4 linked regions of the Caenorhabditis elegans genome follow. The protein of the gene in region 1 interacts with the protein of each later gene in a pairwise test. Each region holds a gene or a part of one and is shown in the gene's direction. Other genes may lie near its edges. The genes, in order: chn-1, ufd-2, ubc-13 and pdr-1.

Region 1 (5,195 bases):
ACATCCGAGAGAAAAATAACTGTCGAAAACAGAATCCAAGACACCGCTGCGTTTGGGAATCACGGTACTCTATCCTTTTCTCCTTTGATTCTTCATCGTCAGTAGTGGAACAAGATTCTCCAGTTTCCGTGGAACCAAGAGGAGAGTCTTCTCTGGAAGATGATGAATCGCTCTCCTCTCTTCCAATCAGTCGATTTGTGAAAAACGCGGATTTCCTCGCAGAGAATGGATTCTCGTCTGTAACACCAGTCTGAAAAATAACATTTTTAAATATTAGATGATAATTGATAACAAAACCTCAATAGTCTTGTTTGGTACCGGGAACGACAAGATGCTTGGAAACCTGAATCCCTTCATCTGTGGATCTTCGTTGAGAACGGCATCTAAAAATTAGGAAGTTATAATTTGCTAAAAAAACCTGCGTTTTCTCACCTTCGTACGTATCCGTACGTCTCTCTAACTCGATAAATTCTTCCTCAGCTGCACGTTTAACATCTCTCCCAGGCTCACGTCTACGCATCCTGTATTAATCATTTTAGAAAACAGATCAATAAAAAAATAAAATAGTGACAGCATTTTTAAAGCGAATATACGAGATTTATACGAACATGTAAAACTTTTACTATTTTTATTCAATGAACACAGAATTCCTTGAACTATTTAGCTGATCTTGTAAAACCTTGGATTAAATTACAGAATTAAAAAATAAAAACCCGTGAAAAATGAAGGTAATGTACCGGCAAAATTTTAAACACATAAAAAATAAGAAATTCGTGCAATAATCGGTGGAATGTTGTCTGAAGAGCCGCCGTTCTCAATCCAGCGTTTCGTTAGAAATCTGTAAGTGCGAAAATTGTAGATCAAAAAATTTCTTAACTATTTTGATCTACAAAAACCACTTACTGGACCATTTTCTCATCACAACTTGTGTTGGCAATGTCCATCGTTGAATCTTGTTGTGAAGAAACAGTCAGAAAAAGTATTGTTTTGGGAACTGGATATTTTCCGTGATCTGAGAACGCATGAAGAACAAGAACTGCATCCCATTTTAGCAGGTCTACATCCAAAATCACAGCTGTTCGAGGTGATGATTGTGAAATAAGAGCGGGTCCGAGGACTGAAATAATGCATTATATTTTCAAAATTCAGCGAATTTTCACATTACTTTGGAGATGTTAAAAAGTTATTTAAACATAAAATATTATGAGGTTCTGAAATCACTCACTTTCCTGCAAATTCGCATGCAACTCGGCTCTATCAGTGTCACTTTCCACTCTAATTGATGATTTTCCTGCCGTAGTATGCTCATCACTTTTAGCATCTTGAACAGCTCGATTCACAGCTTCGGCAATTTGTTTGGCCGGTGTTCCCCCAACAAGAACAACCAACGGAGCATGATTTTCTGGTTCCAAATAGATTTTCTGCCCGATTAGTCTTAAGAGATCCCGATTTTCTTTCGAAATTGTAGGAAACTCGTTCTTGATGACAGATCGGACTGATTTGATGTAACTTTCATACGATTCGTTAGTCTAGAAAATTGTTAATTATTCCGATACCGCGTGTAGTTTTACCAACCGTAACTTTGCTTCCTTTAATCAATGCTCCCACAACAATCGCAATGAAAACTATTCCAATAACAGTCCAGTATTTCCATTTTTCATTCACTTCGTTACATGACACATCGGATTCTTCTGATCCATGTGAGCTACTGAAACTCAAATCCGCATCTGTGAAATCATTTTCATCTTGTTGCTCGCTAGTCTTTTCGGTTCTTGCATTACTTATTTGTTCAGTTAGATCAGGATAAAGCCTTGATGAACTATCGAGACTCCTACGTTTATTCGATGTTGGTATGTAATTGGATGGAGTTCCATATGATTTTCTGGTTTGCACCATACCCTGAACTAAAACGAAAATTGGAGCAGAATTTGAAAAAAAAAAATTAAACTGTTAAAAAAAAACATAAATATAAAAAATTGCGGCAAAAAACAAATTTTGGCTTGGAGCGAGTACACCGCAAACACCGCAAGCTTAATTTGCACACAATGCGTCAGAGCTTACGCGCAACTCTATCCGCATCATGCTTTTCAAAATCGATTTTTAGAACAATTTCCGCTTATTTTCAGCGTTTGCAGCATGTCAAGCGGCGCCGAACAACATAATACTAATGGCAAAAAGTGTTATATGAATAAAAGGTATTTTCATTTATGTGTAATAAATCCCATGTCTTTGAACTTTCAGATATGACGATGCCGTTGATCACTATTCGAAAGCCATCAAAGTAAATCCTCTGCCGAAATACTATCAGAACAGAGCAATGTGTTACTTTCAGGTATTTATACTTCGATTAAAACTTTTCTTTAACTTTTGTAATATATATTCTAGCTTAACAACCTCAAGATGACTGAAGAAGACTGCAAACGGGCACTGGAACTGAGCCCAAACGAAGTGAAAGTAAGCTTTCAACTCTTGAAGTTAATTAGTTATTCAATTCATTTTCAGCCTTTATACTTCTTGGGAAATGTATTTCTACAGAGCAAAAAGTACAGTGAAGCAATAAGCTGTCTCTCCAAAGCGCTCTACCATAATGCTGTTATCACGGTAGAAATTTTTGAACGGCGTTTATTAAAACGGAATTGTGGTTTCAGAACGCTCCAGATATTGAGAACGCCCTCAAACGGGCACGCCATCAAAAGTACGAGGAGGAGGAGTCAAAGCGAATTGTACAAGACGTTGAATTTCACACGTATTTGGAGAGCTTGATCGAAAAGGATCGTCAAGAAAATTCTGAAAACCCAGAGGAGTTGCAAAGAGCAGATATGGCTAAAAAACGTCTAACCGAACTCACTTTAGCGGTAAATACTTTTTCTTGAAAGTTTTTTGAAACTTTAGTAATACTATTCCCAAATTCTTATATCTAAGCGTTTCTAATTCGAACCAAACGAGTTTCCGAATCCTGCCAACTTTTTTCAACCGGTTCAAAATATACTTTCAGAATTAAGCATACTAAACTATCGTGAGTGTAATATTTCCTAAATCACGAGAGATCAAAGAGAATCAAAATATCATTTTTTAGACACAAGAAAAACGGCAAAACAGGGAGGTTCCTGAGATGCTCTGCGGCAAAATTACACTGGAACTGATGAAAGAGCCGGTGATAGTTCCATCTGGAATCACGTATGACCGAGAAGAAATTGTGCAGCATTTGAGAAGAATTGGCCATTTCGATCCAGTCACAAGAAAACCACTTACCGAAAATGAAATTATTCCGAATTATGCACTGAAAGAGGTTGGAAATTTATACAGGGTGGGCCAAAAGTATGGTAACACGTTTGCAGCTCTATAACTTTACTAGTGGAAAGAGTTACTACATCAATTGTTACAAGTTTTGTTCTCCATAAAATACTGACCAGATGAACGTTTTGAATTTTCAAAATATTCCCATCCGCATCGCTGCAGGCCTTCAGAACTTTTGAGATCACGACCTTTATGGCACGCAAGTCGGCATTCTGCGGGATTTCTACATTTTTCTCGAGGAATCCATCAAGTGCCTTACAAGTTTTTATAGTTCAAAGAATGCTCTTGGTCTAGAGATTCTATAAAAACAAAAATCCAAATAATTTCTATCACGGTATTTCTGTCATGGACTGCGGCAGTAGGTTAAGTCTTGAATGGCATAGTCGCCAGAAAGATGGATGTGAGCGGCGAGTAGCAGTATGCAGAAAAATTCATTTTAGTATTTTTCGAGACGTTTTGACCTGACTTTCCAGAATTTTTTTAGAAAATTGAGCTCGGATGATTTTGTGGGACGTTACGCCTTGCGAAACCAAAAAAACTGAGTAAATTTCGCAAAGTTGAATTCATGAAATATTCAAAGGTTCTTGCTAGGCGCCAGTGTCGACACAGAAAATTTTTATATGCCACAAAAACAATTAAAAACGCTTCTTCACTTCTTTAACTTTAAATTTAACATAAAAATCATACATCTGAAAATTATTGGCGTGCATGGGAGGTGTGTTTGTGTGGGAAGTGCCGCGTGCCAAATTACCGTTTTTTCGAAAGGGTTCGCCAAATTGTCGAGGTGATAAAGATCGCACCTTATTGGGAAACATTACAAATTTTGAGTCAAATTGAAGGAAATTTATTCAGCTATCAGTATTCGATAGAAGAATGTACGTATGACGTGGCAGTCACGCGAAAAGCTCATGTAAAAGAGCGCTTCATGTGTTACCATACTTTTGGCCCACCCTGTAATAAATTCAGTTAATTTCTAATGATTTTCAGGTTATTGAAAAGTTTCTTGACGACAACCCATGGGCTAAATATGAACCCGGAGGCATGGTTTAAATACTATTCAGAATATTGAAAAATTCAACATTAAACATTCCTGGCTGCTTCTCAATGCAACTTCTTCACTTTTCTACATGTTTCAGTTCTTTGCATTTTTTTTTCGGATTTTTAAACTTTTATTGTTTGAACGCTGTACCCTCCTTTTCTGTTCTACCGGTATTTGTATCTTGGTGTATTTTTTAGCTTTAGTTTTCTTTCAAAATTCCATTGAATTTCTGGTAGAAAGTGCACTTCAACTTGTCGCTTAGTTCTCAATTTTACTGCTAAAAGTGAGATTCTGTAAATATTGTATGAAATAAAGAGGTGTGATGCTTTTCTTTTCATTTTACAATTTTTTTTATACCAATAGGAAGGTCTATAACCTACTATCTACGTGACTTTGTAAATAAAATAAATAAAATCGGGAAGTTTTCAAAATTGCATCACTGGGAGTGCGGGATTGCGGAGTGTCGTTGTGAAATTTAGACGGCATTTTTTTCCGTTTTTTCAATTTCGAAGCTGTTTAAGCTGAATTCTGTTCGAAAATTTGTTGAAATAAAATGCAAAAAAGAATTTTTGTTCACAAAAAATGGTTATTTTCATTCTCCGGGCATTATTATTTTTGTTTGCAGAGTTTTAGAATAACTGTTTAAAAATCCTTGATGTTTAGATCTGAAAAGCTTTCAATGGTTCAGAAGAAATTATAATTAAACCGAAATTAATTAATTAAATTTATTATTTGAATATTTCCCGCACAAGTTCCATTCTTGCCTCTTCTTTATTGAACTTATAATGTGAAAAATTATTCTTCAGATGTTGTCACGAATTTGTGGAAACGGGATACGATTAACTCGGACAAGACTTCA
Region 2 (5,810 bases), on another chromosome or scaffold:
AAATTCAAACAAATTTTTATTCTTTGGCGAACGTTGAGCAAAAAAGTTGATATCAAATTGCAACGTGGGAAGGATAAGCAATCATTGTGTATAAATTGGAAATTTTCAGGTTGTGGAAGCCTCTCTCGTCGAAGGAGATTCAATTGTTGCGAAAGAAGCATCAAGCTCAGAAGACTCAGTTTCTTACATTTCTCAAAAAGGTGGTACTGTACTTGTGGATAAATCAGGAGAAATTCTTTACAAGCACATTGAAGACGATAAATCAGATTCATGGCCAGATATTGATGAAATAGTAAAACTGGTTGAAGCAAGGGTATGCTTTTTTATTTTTAAAACTCTCTTAACAAACTTCTCCAGAACGCCAAATACTTGGAGAGCACTAATAATTCTACAATATCAATTCCGAAAGGTGGAAATCTGGCAAAAGTGAATTCGGAAATTTCTGTAACAAAGGAACTGGCGACGGACAAAAAGAAACCGTGTTGCGTAATTAGTTAAATATCTAGACTACATTTACATTAAAACCATACATGTTATCTTGGCTGATCTCATTATTAATTCATTATTTTAATATTAGATTATTTAACTATGAAATAACATAAACATTAATTTATTTTCAATTTGTTCCAATGTGGAACTTCCAAAAAAAAAACACTCGAATTTAATGTGGTTGTTATTTTACAGTGAAAAAAGATGTTCGGATGCTTTGATTTCTTTTGGTTGAAGATTTTCAGACTCGTTTATTAAACTTTTACTGTATTCTTGGAATAAAAAAGTTCAATTTATTTTCAATTTTCAATCAATTTAAAAATCTATCATCTGAAGAATAAAACACAACACTATTACATAGAAGTTTCAAGGCAAACCATATATGGCCATATGAATTTTTTTGATCGTTTCAATAGTTTTCTAAAAGTACAATAATCCACGGTAATCCTACAGTACCCTGGCCATATCCCGGAATATTTACGATTGCATCAGAGTAGCAACAAACGTGTGTATTGATTGATTTTTTATCGTATTGAAGGACATCTGCTGGTGGACCAGGTACCCGCCTATAAATGTCTAGAATTGGGTGAGTCTCACAATGACGTCCCTCGGGTCTCAATTGTACACAATCGATTGTTGAGTTGCGCTACTGTTTTCCTCTTGAAACTATAGTTAACTAAACGATTTTTATTGAAAGTGAGGTTTATTCTCGTTTAAAAAAAACAATATTTATTAAAGAATAAAATTTTGTAAAATCAAAAATGTGCGTTCCATCCACAGTCTCGTTCATTTATATACTTTTTTGTTGCTTAATTTATCTGCCCCTTCAAATTCTTATTGCTCTAAAAATATTCAAATTAAGTGGTGTCTGAAAATAGAATCATAAAGATACAATATTTAACACTCGTTCTTCCGAATTCAGTTTTCTACCGATGTTTCTCTCCTGCAAAAATGTGGTGTCTCGGTAGTGCAGCAAACGCGCTCCACTGCATGTTCATTGAGAGGCCGAAATGTCAGCGTCTTTGCAGCTGCATTGCTCCTTCGATTTTTCTATCTCTTGCGCGCGCGGTGCAAATGTCTTCCTACAGTTTTTGCTCTCGAAAATAATTTTATGTTTTCCTCTATACACAATTCTAGTCCAATATTGTTTTCATACAATCCTCTGCGTTTAATTTTTCCGTCTCATAAATGTTCCCATTACCGTAAAATATTTGTTATCAGACCTCTCACCATTCTCTTTATCGTTACTCTACTTATCAAAATCACGTGATCATCACGAATTTCCAGAAATCGTAGATGATTGAAGACGAGAAAGCAGGCTTGCAGCCGATGGACATAAGTGATGCTTCTGTGGTGCGTTTTTGCCTGACATTTTATATACTCATAGGCGATTAGTTCTTTTTTCAGGCAGATGTTGAAAGCAAAGACTTCCTCACAAGTCTCTTTGACTGTGAAGGTAAATCAGATGACAGAATGCTTCGTTACGCCGATGCGATAATCGATGTTCAAAATCTGAATTTTGATGTTTCTCCTCAGTGTCTGCAATCGAACATTGCCGAAATAATCACAAAGTTTGTACTTTTATCTCAAGATGGATCAAGAAGGGGGCTGTCAAGATCGTTCAATTTCATCGACCCTGATATCATTGCTGGATGTCGTGAAGAAGACGCCATCGAGTTTCTCTTAATCAATTTTGTTCGTTGCCATCATGAGCTTGGAAAGGTACTCTATCTAATATAGTTCTATTTTTAATTTAACAATTTTCAGAGCGGTACTTCAAATTGCTACAAGAAAACTCTCGAATCTACCAGGAAAGCAGTTTTCTCAGTTTTTGTGATGATACAGAGAGGCTACTTGGAGAGCCAACTTCGCAGCCAACATGCTAGTTTGGTGTTCACAAAAAGACTTCTGGAGGATACGGTGTCAAATGTTTTTCTAAGAACATTGGTTGAATACCTTGCAAGTACAGATGAATGCGATGAAGACGCTATTACAGAAACATTTAATCCAATTTTCGGGATTTTGCGGAGCGGAATTATTTGTCAACGCTTTGAAGACAATAAGGACGAAATTGTTCGTCAGATCCTTCGTGTGATGAACTTGCTTCTCAGTATCAGACTCCCTTCAAACGGACCTCGCCCACTGAGTAACCTACTTGTTAATCGAGAAGATTTTCTCCCAACGCCGTCCGAAAAAATACAAGGACGCGAGTTTGGTTTAATGTCCTTCCTAGGACCGTTCTTTTCGTACGGCCTCGAATCATCAGCAAGGCGTCCAAATCATCGAGTTTTTGTGGATTGTGAAGAAGATGCAAGAAAATATGATGGATCAGTCAACACTGAGCAGAAACTGTATTTCCAAAGAATGGATCCAATTCGAACTATGCTTCATCAATTGATGCTTCCGCTTGCTTCGGATCAAGGAAGTCGCAACAAAACTCTAAGATGGATTGCCACCATCATAAGCACCAATGACATTCGCACTCGTTCACATTATGATCCTTCAGATGTCTTGTGTGATCATTATATGACAAATTTTTTGTCCGTGATGTACATGTTTTCCGAGAAAATCGACTTGTCCAAAATTATCGTAGATTATCCGTTTTTACCGAGTTCGCTTATAAATATTTCCAAGGAGACTCGTCTCAAAATGGACGAATCAGGAGCAGTCGCTTTTGCTAGCCAATTCGGTAAGTTTCATTTTTCTTTCTCAAAAAATTAACTTGTTTTCTTTTTCCAGCAGATCGTCCAGATGAATATCATTTCTCTACAGTCTGCTTCTTCCTGACAATTGCAGCACAGAGGCTCGTTATTCCTCCATTGATGAATCAAATAAGTGAATACTCTCGACACCTTAAGGAGCTCAAGCATAAGATCAATGCGCTCAAAGAAAAACTAAATACTGTGTCAGGATTCGAGAGAGCTGAGGTGGAAAAGAAGTTGAACTATGAGACTGAACACTGGAAGCTCATGTCTCGTCATCTTTTATGTGTTAAGACACAAGCTCAAGATCCTGCATTAATGGCATCTTCTATGGATTTTGTCGATAAGCAGATGAAATTCATTTTGAATTTGCTTTGTGATAACTTGGATTTGCTCGGAGACGACAGTCAACTTCCAACTGAAGTATCACAAATGTTTTGTGCGCTCCCAGAATATTTTCTAGAGGATGCTCTCGATTTTTACATATTCGCTATTTCCAATGGAATGAAACTGCTCATGGAGAGAAATGCGGATTGGATTTCCCGTCTGACGGTCCTTTTCACACAATATCACTACATCAAAAGCCCATTTCTCGTTTCCAAACTGGTGAGAGTGCTGTCTTCTATTCAACCTCCATTATGGTTCAACGTGGTCAGACTTCGAATGGCACAAGAAAATTTATTGATGTGCATGATAAAGTTCTACTCGGATTTCGAAGACAATGGTGACTTTTATGAAAAGTTTAACGTTCGTGGAAATATCCAGTACATGTTGGAAAAAATGGAGGAAGATATGTTCTACAAAGGAAAGTTTATGGACATGGCAAGAGAATGCGGAGCAGAGTTCATTCGGTTTGTCAATATGGTGATTAACGATGCAACATGGTGTATAGATGAGAGCTTGTCTGGTTTGAAGAGTATCCATGATGTTGAGAAAAAGATGGCGAAGTAAGACTATTTCGAATGATAACTTAAAAATATAAATTTTATTTTCAGCAAAGTCGAATGGGACAACACAGATCAAGAAATCCGTAATCAGGATCTCGGCGTGTACGAGGAGGCAAAACGTAAAGTGAAGGGATGGCTTGGAACAGCCAAAAGTAATCTTAAATTGCTACTATCGATTACCGTAAACTCACCCGAACCTTTCCGTACTCCGGTTCTCGGCGAAAGACTTGCTGCAATGTTGAATCACAATTTATCGCAACTCATTGGTAGCAAGGCCTCCGAGTTGAAAGTCAAGGATCCAAGAAGTTATGGATGGGAACCACGGGAGTTTGTATCGTTGCTGATCTCAATCTATTTAAAGCTGAATATGCCTGCATTTGTTAAATACATAGCATACGACGAGGTTGGTTAACACATTTGTTTATTCAAAGAGATTTATTTTAATTATTTTTCAGCGTACCTACAGTCCTGAATTCTTCCATAATGCGATTGAATGCATGAGAAAGAATAGTATTGTTGGATTCAGTCAACTCGAAAGTTTCGAACATTTGGCCGAAGATGTTAAAAAAGAGTATGAGGCAAAAGCTGAGCTTGAAGAAGAGTATGATGATGTACCAGAAGAGTTCAAGGATCCTATTATGGATGCAATTATGGTTGATCCTGTCAAATTGCCATCAGGACACGTGATGGATCGTGCAGTCATCGAGAGGCATCTTCTCAGTACACCCAATAATCCGTTTAATCGTGCTCCCTTGTCGCACAATGAGCTTTCTCCCGATTCTGAGTTGAAGGCAAAGATTCAGGAATGGATTTGCCAGAAAAGAAATTCAAAGAAATAATTTTCTATCATATTCTATTGTTACCCAATTTTGTATTTATTGTACTTGACCATTGCACATGTGCAAAATGTCTGTAAATTTCACGCGTTCCTTTCATTTTATAAGTTTTTCTGGTCTCTCAATGGTCTAATCTTTCGGTTTCGGTTTCATTTTCTGCATGGATTCCTTAAAGTTGGTATTCTTGCCCTCTTTCATCAAACCTAAAAAACACGAGTAGTGCCTTGAATGTGAATAAATTTATACTAATTTACTTATTTTCTAAATTTTGGCTTCTATTGCGGTCTCCGATCCGCATACTTATATTTTTATTCTTTGTGAATTTCTTCACATATTCTGATTTTAGCCTTGAACCTGGAATGACTAAATTTCTGTAGGTTTATAACGAACGGTGTCGTATTGTTTTGTGATTTGTTACATGTCAATAACTTATAATATTTATACGTTCCCAGTCATCCCAAATCCGATTAATTTTTATTTTTGAAATATATTTACTGCTTTCAGTAGCTTGGTACATCTGGAACGTATTTGGTCGACGGCAATGTCTTTATTCGCGAGACAACTTCAATCCTTGACTGCCAGTGGAATCCGCACACAGCAAGTTCGTCTTGCGAGCACGGAAGTATCATTCCACACAAAGCCATGCAAACTTCATAAACTTGACAATGGACCAAACACCTCTGTCACCTTGAACAGAGAAGATGCTCTCAAGTACTACCGTGACATGCAGGTCATTCGTCGCATGGAGTCTGCTGCTGGAAACTTGTACAAGGAGAAGAAAATCCGCGGTTTCTGTCATCTCTACTCTGGTCAAGAAGCTTGTGCCGTCGGAATGA
Region 3 (5,423 bases), on another chromosome or scaffold:
AGGCTGAAAATATCGATTTTCACCTTAAAAACCTCCAAAAACCAATTTTATCGATTTCGAAACGTTATTATTGATGGAAAATACGTAAAAATGGAAAATAATACCCATTTTCAGCTTTTTCAACGCCGAAAAATCAATTTTCGGCGATATTTTCTACTAAAATTACCGAAAAATGTGATTTTTCCGCAAAAATATGCGATTTCATAACAGTTTTCGTTGGGAAATGCACAGAAATCCAATTTTTCTAAAAATTTCGCAAAGGAATTGATTTTTTACTTAAATTACCGTTAAATTTATACATTTTTAGTATAAAAATTAAGATTTCGCGTGGATAACGAGAATTTACAGCGTTTTTTTGCTGAAAATATCGATTTTCTCGAATTTAGCGTTTTCAAAATGCTCAAAACGTCGAAAATTCAGTTTTTGGCATTATTTTTGATGGAAAATACGTCAAAAATGCCAATTTTCACTCTGAAATGCACATAAATCCTATTTTTTCGAAATTTCACTGTTGAATTGATTTTTTCACTCAAACTACCGGTGAATTTACATATTTTCAGATGAAAAACTGAAAGCTCCCGTAGAAAACGCGTCTTTTTCAACATTTTGGTGCTGAAAATATCGATTTTCCGCAAAAATAACGAATTCGTAATGCCAAAAACGTCAAAAATACACATTTTTGCGTTTATTTTTGATTAAAATTACTCCAAAATGTCAGTTTTCTGCAAAAATATGCGATTTCATCACTGTTTTCCATGGAAACTGCACAAAAATCCAATTTTGCCATTATTTTGCACCGAAATCGATTTTTTTCTCCAAAAAAATTATTCGAAATCGTGAAAAGCGAGCGTTTTTTAATGTTGGAAATCACAAAAAACCCAATTTTATCGATTTTTGGCCGACGTTTACGTTGAAAACTCGAGGAAAACAGTTTTTTAATTGAAAAATTCATAGTTTCCCGCAGAAAATTAGATATTTTAACTTTTTGTACTAAAAAAAATGGCATTTTTCCGATATTTCGAGAAAAACTTCGATTTTTAATTAAAAAACCTTGAATTATTAGTCTTTTTTCTTTTATTTCAGCCAAAATTTATACATTTATACATTTTTTTCTTCAGTTTTCACCATTTTGCACTCAAAAATCCGTCTAATTGTTGAATTTTTAACAGAAAAACAGTTTTTCGCTGGGAAAAGCTCTAAAATCACTCAAAAACCATCAAATTTATTCCACTTTTCCATGGAAACTGCACAAAAATCCAATTTTGCTATTATTTTGCACCAAAATCGATTTTTTTTTCCAAAAAAATTATTCCAAATCGCTAAAAACGAGCATTTTTTTGGTTGGAAATGCCAAAAACACAATTTTATCGATTTTTGGCCGATGTTTACGTTGAAAATTCGAGGAAAACAGTTTTTTAAAGTAAAAATTCATAGTTTCCCCTAGGAAATTAGATATTTTAACTTTTTTTTTGCGGAAAATGGCCCTTTTCCGATATTTCGAGAAAAAACTTTGATTTTTAATTAAAAAACCTTGAATTATTAGTCTTTTTTCTTTTATTTCAGCCAAAATTTATACATTTATATATATTTTTTTATTCAGTTTTCACCATTTTGCACTCAAAAATCCGTTTTTCTAATAGAAAAATCAGCTTAAAAGCCCCAAAACACACAATAAAATTTCTTGCAGAATGGCCGGGCAACTTCCGCGTCGAATCATCAAAGAGACACAACGACTTCTCGCGGATCCGGTTCCCGGAATATCGGCAAATCCAGACGAGAGCAACGCCAGATACTTCCATGTCATGATAGCCGGGCCAGACGATTCTCCATTTGCTGGTGGTGTCTTCAAGTTGGAGCTTTTCCTTCCGGAAGAGTATCCGATGGCTGCACCGAAAGTTCGATTCATGACAAAGATCTATCATCCGAATATTGATAAACTCGGCAGAATTTGTCTCGATATTCTCAAGGGTGAATAGATTTTCCCCTTTTTTTGAAAAATTAGTGAAAAAATTTTTTAAAAAACGGTTTTTAGCGTTTTAATCAATTATTTTTAGAGAATTTTCTGAATTTTCATCGAAATTTGCTATTTTTACACTGTTTTAACACAAATTTATTGATAAAATTCAGAAATCTAGCTTTTTTGGATATTTTTACTTGAAATTTTTCGAAAAACAGCCCATTTTCAACAATATTCACGAGTTTAGATGAATTTTTTGTATTTTTTAATATTTAAATCAAATTTAGCTCTTTTTGAGCGTATAAATCCGAATTTCATGCTCATTTTTCGCATAATGAGAAAATAATCCAAAAAATATGAATTTTTACGCATTTTAATGGGAAAAATGGATCAAAAACAGCTTATTTTGAGCGTTTTTTGACAAAATAGACGAAATTTCGAGAAAAATCGTGTTTTTTTTTGTTCTAATAAATATATTTAGGTGCATTCGAATGCGAATTTCTCGAAATTTAATTTTAAAAAACCCTCTTTTTGTGAAATTTTTTTCAAAGAAACTGCGAAAATGTATCATTTTTGCGCATTTTTAACCAAATTTCATCGAAAATCTCGGAAAACGGCGTTTTTTTGGCAATTTTTATTCAAAATTGCGAAAATTTCGGCGAACCCCCAGTTTTCGAGGGACATTTTCAATTTATGATCGAAATTAGCTATTTTTAATCATTCTAAAGCGAATTTCTTGTTAAAATTGCTGAAAAATCTGATTTTTTAGTAATTTCAATGGAGAGATAGTAAAATTCGATTTTTAATTACAAATTTCGTGTAATTTCTTCGAAAACTTCTTTATTTTTGCGCATTTTTTCCAATTTTTATCGAAAAATTACTCCAAAAGAAAGCATTTCGATAGATATATCTCATTTTTTGCGCATTTTAATCAAATTATCCATAGAAAAGTTCAATTTTTCGGCTATTTTAATGCGAATTATCTCGAAAAACTGCTCATTTTGAGCTTTTTCACATGAATTTCTCGAAAAAAAATGCCCAATTTTTCAGATAAATGGTCGCCGGCTCTTCAAATTCGCACGGTTCTTCTGTCGATTCAGGCTCTTCTTTCGGCTCCAAATCCGGAAGATCCACTGGCAACTGATGTCGCCGAGCAATGGAAAACGAATGAGGCCGAGGCGATTAAGACTGCAAAACAATGGACGATGAACTATGCTCGTCAGTAATATATCTAGGGTCTCGCCACGAAATCGATGAAAATTTGCAATTCTTTTGAAGCCAAAATCGAAAATTCGACCTCATGTCGATTTACGCCGATCGTGTACTCCCCGAGGAGAAGTTGGAATGATTTTTATACAGTTTTTGACCTTTTTAACATTAAAACTATCAAAAAATGGCTCGTAAATCCGATTTCCAGCCGAAAACTGCTTTTACGCCACTAAAAATATCGATTTTCACGGAAAACACTGTAATTTACGGCTAAATTTGCTATATTTAAGTAAAATTTCAGGAAAAGTCGACGAAAACGGCGAAAAACAATACTTTTAGCGCAATTATGGAGCCAAAATCGAAAAATCGAACTAAAAATCCCTGAAATTGGCGCATGTCGATTTACGTCAACTCGTGTACTCCCCGAGGAGAAGTGGGGGTGAAAAAAACGGGTTTTAAGGTGAAAATTATTGATTTTGGCCTATTTTTTCTAATTTGAACGTTTAAATCATCAATTTTTGCTCGGAATTATAGCTTTTTTGATAAATTTTTATTTTCGAATTTTTTTTAGTTTTTCAACCTTTAAAAAATCGAAAATAAAAATTTATCAGAAACACTATAATTTAGACCTAAATTGGTGATTTAAAGATTCAAATCAGGAAAAAATAGGCCAACATCAACAATTTTCGCCTCAAAATCCATGTGCTTCACCCCTCTTCTCCGCGGGGAGTACACGAGCTGCGTAAATCGACATGTGCCAATTTCGGAGGTTTCTAGTTCGATTTTTCGATTTTTGCTCCAAAATTGCGCTAAAATGATTGATTTTGGACCGTTTTCGCATCGACTTTTCCACAAATTTTACATAACTATAACAACTTTAGCGCTAAATTCCAGTTTTTCAGTGAAAATCGAAGTATTTAGTGTCTTAAAAGCAGTTTTCAGCTGGAAATTGAATTTATGAGCCATTTTTTTGGTAGTTTTAATGTTAAAAAACTGTATAAAAATCATTCCCACTTCTCCTCGAGGAGTACACGGGCTGCGTAAATCGACCCTTCGAATTTTCGATTTCGGCTCTGAAAACAGTAGATTTTCCTAGTTTTCGCTGTGGGACCCAACAATAAATATGCATTTTAATAAATTTTTTTTAACAATTTAAAAAATAAATTAATAATTTTTTTTCAGAAGCCTGATCGTCTCCGAAGCTCGCCTCTAGAACAACTACAAAAAATCACATCAAACAAAAAAAAATTCGAAATTCTCTCAGCCTGCTCTTTGTCCCGCCTTTTCCCGCCCCCTTACGAACTTCCAATAAATTGTATGAATTGCATAAAAATCTCGATTTTCCCCATCTTCTACTATATATCTAAATATTGATTTTTTTTGTCCCCGCCCGGTTTTTTGTCTCGAAATTCTACAATTTCCTCCCCATCCCATTGAATTTTTTAAAAAATTTTTTTGTCTCTGTTGTCTCACGATCCTCATCAAACCGTCGTCGTCCATTTAATTTAAATTCTTCTTTTTTTCTCCCAGTTTCCAGAAAATCTTCTTCCATCGAAATTGATTTTTTTTTCTCTTTTGGAAATTTTGATGATTTTTTGAATAAAGTCGTTATTTTTTTTGAGAATTTTTGAGAAATTTTTGAAGGCATTTCCAGCAGTAGCCTGATGGTTTTCAACCGGAAAAAATGCAAGAATAAATAGAAGAATAAATAGTAGATATTGTGATAGAAATTTTAAAAACTGGAAACTGCCTGAATCGCCGATTGCCGAAAGTGAGAAATGCCGAAAAAATGCACGCTGATATTACTGTAAATTTAAAGGGACACACAGTATCTTGTTGCATGGGTTTCATCGCGATGTGTTCAACTGTAGCTTTTTGATTTTTCTTTCGATTTTTCGAATTTTAACTGTGTTTTTTCATGTTTTTCTTGCGAAATTTGAAGCAATTACCGATAAAAAATTTTTAATTCAGATTTCTGCAAACATGGACTCGAAGCCACTCACCTATCTATCCATGCAGTGCATTATCAAACACTTGGAGGCGAATAAAAGGTGAGACAAACAGTTTCTGTAATTAACTAAATACATAATTCTCAGATTCCGACTGGCCGCACAATGCCCATCTCTTGTAAAGATCGAAAAATCGCAACCTCTGATTATCAAGAAGCTGGAATTCAATCGTAGTACAATCTCTGTCAATGGAGTGAAATACAAACTTGGTGCTAGGAACAATGTATGAATTTTTGCCATTCTAGACG
Region 4 (4,154 bases), on another chromosome or scaffold:
CAGAAATAGATGTTTGCAACATGGGGTCCGAGACGGACGCGCCTCTTCATGATTAGCATGATTTTCATCACTACAGAGCTCACTTTAAAGAAATTTGTTAGCATTTTTTACACGTACCGCTTTGATTCCTGCCTCTATAAACGTGTGTGGTCTCATTGCGATGTCACGAGTTGTTCCATTAGTCCACGCCGGCGTGCCACGTTTCAGGGTTCGGATATCAAGTGTGCTTTTGGTGAGAATGGCGGACGACATGCCGAGGCCGATGTTATTTGTGGTTTGTCCTGGTGTTTGATCGCATGATGGAATACTTCCACAGCTCAAGCTCCTGCGGGTGAGCTGGCGGTGAAGTGAGACACGTGGCGGGTCCTGGTTCTGAGCTCGAGAGTTATGAATAGTAGTGGTGGTGGTGGTAGTGGTGGTAGTTGTCATTTCTTGATGAGGTGTAGAACCATCATCACGGCATCTTTTTGGAGGTGTACCACCCTCATTCTGAAAGAACAAACGCAATTCAACAAAAACTGTCATGTCATAATTTTTACCGGCTCTTCATCTATAGTAGCTGTCATAACACGGCTTCTGCTCCTCTTCGAATTGGCAGCAGCAGTAATCGCATGTGCTGACGCGCTTCTCCGCTTGCCACCAACTGCGTTTCCAGCAGCTGAGCTTCTTCTGACCTCTCTTCCATTGCGCAAATGAATAACTTCCTCGAAACTGTCTCCAGTTTCATCGTAATCCACCTCACTATCGTCCTCATCGTCCTGTGTGTCCTCCATCAAATGTGGATGCCTCTGCTGCACCCGTTTCGAGTATGTCCGGACCAGTGGCTCGTGAAGAAACTTGAACTGATCGCGGTCTTCCTTGGTGAGACTATTGAATATACCGTTCTTCATCGCATCTTTCAGCTGCTTTTCACGAGTCTCGTAGACGTTTAGATCGAGCTTCAACGCCTTATTTTCTTCCATCAACGCGCGTAAATGTTTCTGAGTGTCTTTGACATCGATATCGAACATTGCCAGCTTCTTGCGAGCTTTTCTGAAATAATAGTGTTTTCTAAACACGTAAACATGAAATATTTCACTTACGCAAGTGCTTCTTCGGCCTCTCTCATATCTGCATTCAGCCGCTTTTTGGATTCCTCGGAATCTTTCCACAGCTTGCGGAGACGCTCAATCTCATCAATCAAATGAAACATTCCTGAAACACGTCATTAAAATTTGAAAATGATAATTGAAACTAACCTATATCCTTAATATCGAATTGCGGTCGCTGTGAGTTTAGAATCATGTTGAAAATGTGACGCGAGTTTTCGCCGCACACCTTCTCTTTTGATGTACTGGACTTCATTCTAAAATGTGGAAATGATTAGAAAACGAGAAACTCGCCCGAAAATAAGAGAAAAATGCGTGAAAACCGTTTCAAATTTCGTGGAAAACAGTTCGAATTTGAAGCTCGCTGCGTTTGTCTCACACGCGACGCGACCCGCTACGCTTGCCATAGGGCGCACATGACTGCGAGGACTAGTGTGCACAAAAACATGGGGCTTCAAGGCCTCGACTAGTTTTTTGAATTTAATGTTTAAAACTGCAAGCAGGCCCGCTAGCAGGAAATTTTTTTGTTAATTTCTAAGTCAAATTTTCAGCTCTCATGAAGCATGTCTGATGAAATCTCTATATTAATACAAGATAGAAAAACAGGTCAACGTAGGAATCTAACACTTAATGTAGTGGACATTTCAAACTTTGAATATATACATTATTTTTTTCAGATAAATATAACTGGAAATATCGAAGATCTCACAAAAGATGTGGAAAAGCTCACCGAAATTCCCAGCGATGAGCTGGAAGTGGTTTTCTGTGGGAAAAAGTTATCAAAATCAACGATTATGAGGGATTTGTCACTGACACCTGCAACGTAGGTCAAGTAAATATTTACTTATATAAATAACTGGAATTGTTATTTATATAAATAACTGGAATTGTTATTCAAATAATATTATTTCAGACAAATCATGCTTCTCCGTCCAAAGTTCAATAGTCACAACGAAAACGGTGCTACTACTGCAAAAATAACAACAGATTCTTCAATTCTCGGAAGCTTCTACGTGTGGTGCAAAAATTGTGACGACGTCAAGCGCGGCAAACTGCGGGTTTATTGCCAAAAATGCTCGTCAACCTCTGTTCTAGTCAAATCTGAACCCCAGAACTGGTCCGACGTTCTCAAAAGCAAGAGAATACCGGCGGTCTGCGAAGAATGCTGTACTCCAGGTCTTTTCGCTGAATTCAAGTTCAAATGTCTAGCCTGCAACGATCCGGCCGCAGCTCTAACTCACGTACGCGGAAATTGGCAAATGACCGAGTGCTGTGTTTGTGATGGGAAGGAGAAAGTGATCTTCGACCTCGGATGCAATCATATTACATGCCAATTCTGTTTCAGAGTGAGTAAGAATCTAAATTTTTTGTTGAAATTGTTTAATTTTAAAGGATTATTTGCTAAGTCAACTGGAACGATTCGGTTTTGTCAATCAGCCGCCGCATGGCTTCACCATTTTCTGCCCCTATCCAGGGTGCAATAGTTCGTTCGATTTTATCAAAACCATTCAATTTTCTGCAGTAGTGATCCTGAAAACTAATTGATAGAAACAAAAAATCTTCCAAAAAATACAAATATGTTATGTTTCCATTTTGCAAGTCTGGCATGGTTTTTTTTTTGCAAAAAAAACCCCCACCCGTTCTATTTAAATTTATTTTGAAAATTTTCTCACATGTTTCAATAGTTTTTCAATGCCGAGAAAATTGAAAAAAAAAGTTTTAAAGAAATTAAACAGAACATTTAATTGAAAAATAACTTCAGGAGTGGTACAAGATGTGCACCATTTCCACATTATGGGTCAGACGTCGTACAGCGAATACCAACGGAAAGCCACCGAGCGATTGATTGCCGTGGACGACAAGGGTGTGACTTGCCCGAATGTCTCGTGTGGGCAGAGCTTCTTCTGGGAGCCCTATGATGACGATGGAAGATCCCAGTGTCCAGATTGTTTTTTTTCGTTTTGCAGGTATTTTGAGCTTCTAAATCGGAAATTTTATCGCAATAAATATCATCGTTCAGAAAGTGCTTCGAAAGAAATTGTGTGTGCCAGAGCGAAGACGATCTCACCCGAACTACAATTGACGCGACTACAAGGTGATCTCAGCGATTATCCACTACAAAAAACTGTAAATTCTTCCAGAAGATGCCCAAAATGCCACGTGGCAACCGAACGGAACGGCGGATGTGCTCACATTCACTGTACCTCGTGTGGAATGGATTGGTGTTTCAAGTGCAAGACAGAATGGAAGGAAGAGTGTCAATGGGACCATTGGTTTAATTAATAACTCTCTAAAATTCATCTTTTCTAGAGATTGTACGTGTTATTCTGTAGATTTTTACAACAATTACGGTGTGTCTGAAGTTACATTGACATTTTTTCTCTTCAAATTTTAGATCTTTTTCTCAATTTTTGTTGCTGAGTATTTCGCTCATTTCATACCTTTTTTTAAATGTTTTGCCAAATTTCAAAGAACACATTTCTCGCAGGGATCTCCATAGACATGTCAGGACAAGGACCTCCACCAAGTATGACGCCGCAGCAACAACATGTAAGATTTTTTGTGCTTTTGAACTTGAGAGTAAATTTTAGTGAATTTGAGCACATTTTACAACCTTTTTCGGAAAAATTTCACACTTTTCTACGGCTTCATCCTTAAAACAATTGAAGTCAAAAAATGTCTTTTTTTTAATTTTGGGAACAAAAAAAATTAATGAAAATGTACAATCACACCAACATGGAAACATTTCTTGAGCTTCGGGATATATCTCAGTTTTGGAGTGGGCTGAAAATTATTTTTTTCATGAAAATTAAAAAAACAACTTTTTCATGAAAACAAAACTCACCGCATTTTTTAACTGAAATTTGAAAATTTCTCACTCAAATATCCTTTAAAGTTTCATTTTAAGACGTTTTCAGAGCTTTTTTAAAACCATATAACCAAATTTTAAACTAGGAATAAAAAGATTATAAAATAAAAACATTTCAGATGTTAATGCAGCAGCAACAGCAGCAACAAATGATGCGGCAGCAACAAATGCAGCAACAACAAATGCAGCAGCAACGT

The links.
Region 2: the proteins of chn-1 (region 1) and ufd-2 interact in a two-hybrid assay, tested with the Caenorhabditis elegans proteins (2 studies listed by BioGRID).
Region 3: the proteins of chn-1 (region 1) and ubc-13 interact in a two-hybrid assay, tested with the Caenorhabditis elegans proteins (one study listed by BioGRID).
Region 4: the proteins of chn-1 (region 1) and pdr-1 interact in a two-hybrid assay, tested with the Caenorhabditis elegans proteins (one study listed by BioGRID).

Annotation. Positions count from the first base shown.
Region 1 is NC_003279.8:6,180,788-6,185,982, reverse strand, and holds chn-1 (E3 ubiquitin-protein ligase CHIP), read left to right. Parts: upstream 1-2,126; 5' UTR 2,127-2,136; coding exon 2,137-2,195; intron 2,196-2,241; coding exon 2,242-2,332; intron 2,333-2,385; coding exon 2,386-2,454; intron 2,455-2,502; coding exon 2,503-2,601; intron 2,602-2,648; coding exon 2,649-2,855; intron 2,856-3,076; coding exon 3,077-3,289; intron 3,290-4,284; coding exon 4,285-4,347; 3' UTR 4,348-4,669; downstream 4,670-5,195. Other genes in the region: GPI mannosyltransferase pigv-1, read right to left, coding at 1-250, 298-383, 433-520; T09B4.2 (Torsin-1B), read right to left, coding at 748-838, 904-1,117, 1,226-1,529, 1,576-1,896; putative mitochondrial import inner membrane translocase subunit tin-44, read left to right, coding at 5,143-5,195.
Region 2 is NC_003280.10:8,060,967-8,066,776, forward strand, and holds ufd-2 (Ubiquitin conjugation factor E4 ufd-2), read left to right. Parts: upstream 1-1,774; 5' UTR 1,775-1,785; coding exon 1,786-1,842; intron 1,843-1,884; coding exon 1,885-2,211; intron 2,212-2,256; coding exon 2,257-3,178; intron 3,179-3,228; coding exon 3,229-4,138; intron 4,139-4,186; coding exon 4,187-4,541; intron 4,542-4,593; coding exon 4,594-4,977; 3' UTR 4,978-5,227; downstream 5,228-5,810. Other genes in the region: T05H10.8 (peroxiredoxin-like family protein), read left to right, coding at 110-313, 358-498; pdha-1 (Pyruvate dehydrogenase E1 component subunit alpha), read left to right, coding at 5,334-5,347, 5,479-5,810. UniProt on the Caenorhabditis elegans protein: Acts as an E4 ubiquitin ligase mediating the assembly of polyubiquitin chains on substrates ubiquitinated by another E3 ubiquitin ligase. The elongation of preexisting ubiquitin chains preferentially targets ubiquitin 'Lys-29' and 'Lys-48' residues.
Region 3 is NC_003282.8:2,921,956-2,927,378, reverse strand, and holds ubc-13 (Ubiquitin-conjugating enzyme E2 13), read left to right. Parts: upstream 1-1,687; 5' UTR 1,688-1,688; coding exon 1,689-1,968; intron 1,969-3,007; coding exon 3,008-3,175; intron 3,176-4,348; coding exon 4,349-4,356; 3' UTR 4,357-4,788; downstream 4,789-5,423. Other genes in the region: fbxc-45 (F-box C protein), read left to right, coding at 5,150-5,217, 5,263-5,398.
Region 4 is NC_003281.10:13,769,880-13,774,033, forward strand, and holds pdr-1 (E3 ubiquitin-protein ligase parkin), read left to right. Parts: upstream 1-1,639; 5' UTR 1,640-1,651; coding exon 1,652-1,720; intron 1,721-1,765; coding exon 1,766-1,911; intron 1,912-2,001; coding exon 2,002-2,434; intron 2,435-2,480; coding exon 2,481-2,571; intron 2,572-2,850; coding exon 2,851-3,055; intron 3,056-3,108; coding exon 3,109-3,183; intron 3,184-3,229; coding exon 3,230-3,371; 3' UTR 3,372-3,465; downstream 3,466-4,154. Other genes in the region: cyk-4 (Rac GTPase-activating protein 1), read right to left, coding at 118-489, 540-1,032, 1,083-1,194, 1,239-1,344; mdt-29 (Mediator of RNA polymerase II transcription subunit 29), read left to right, coding at 3,591-3,638, 4,077-4,154.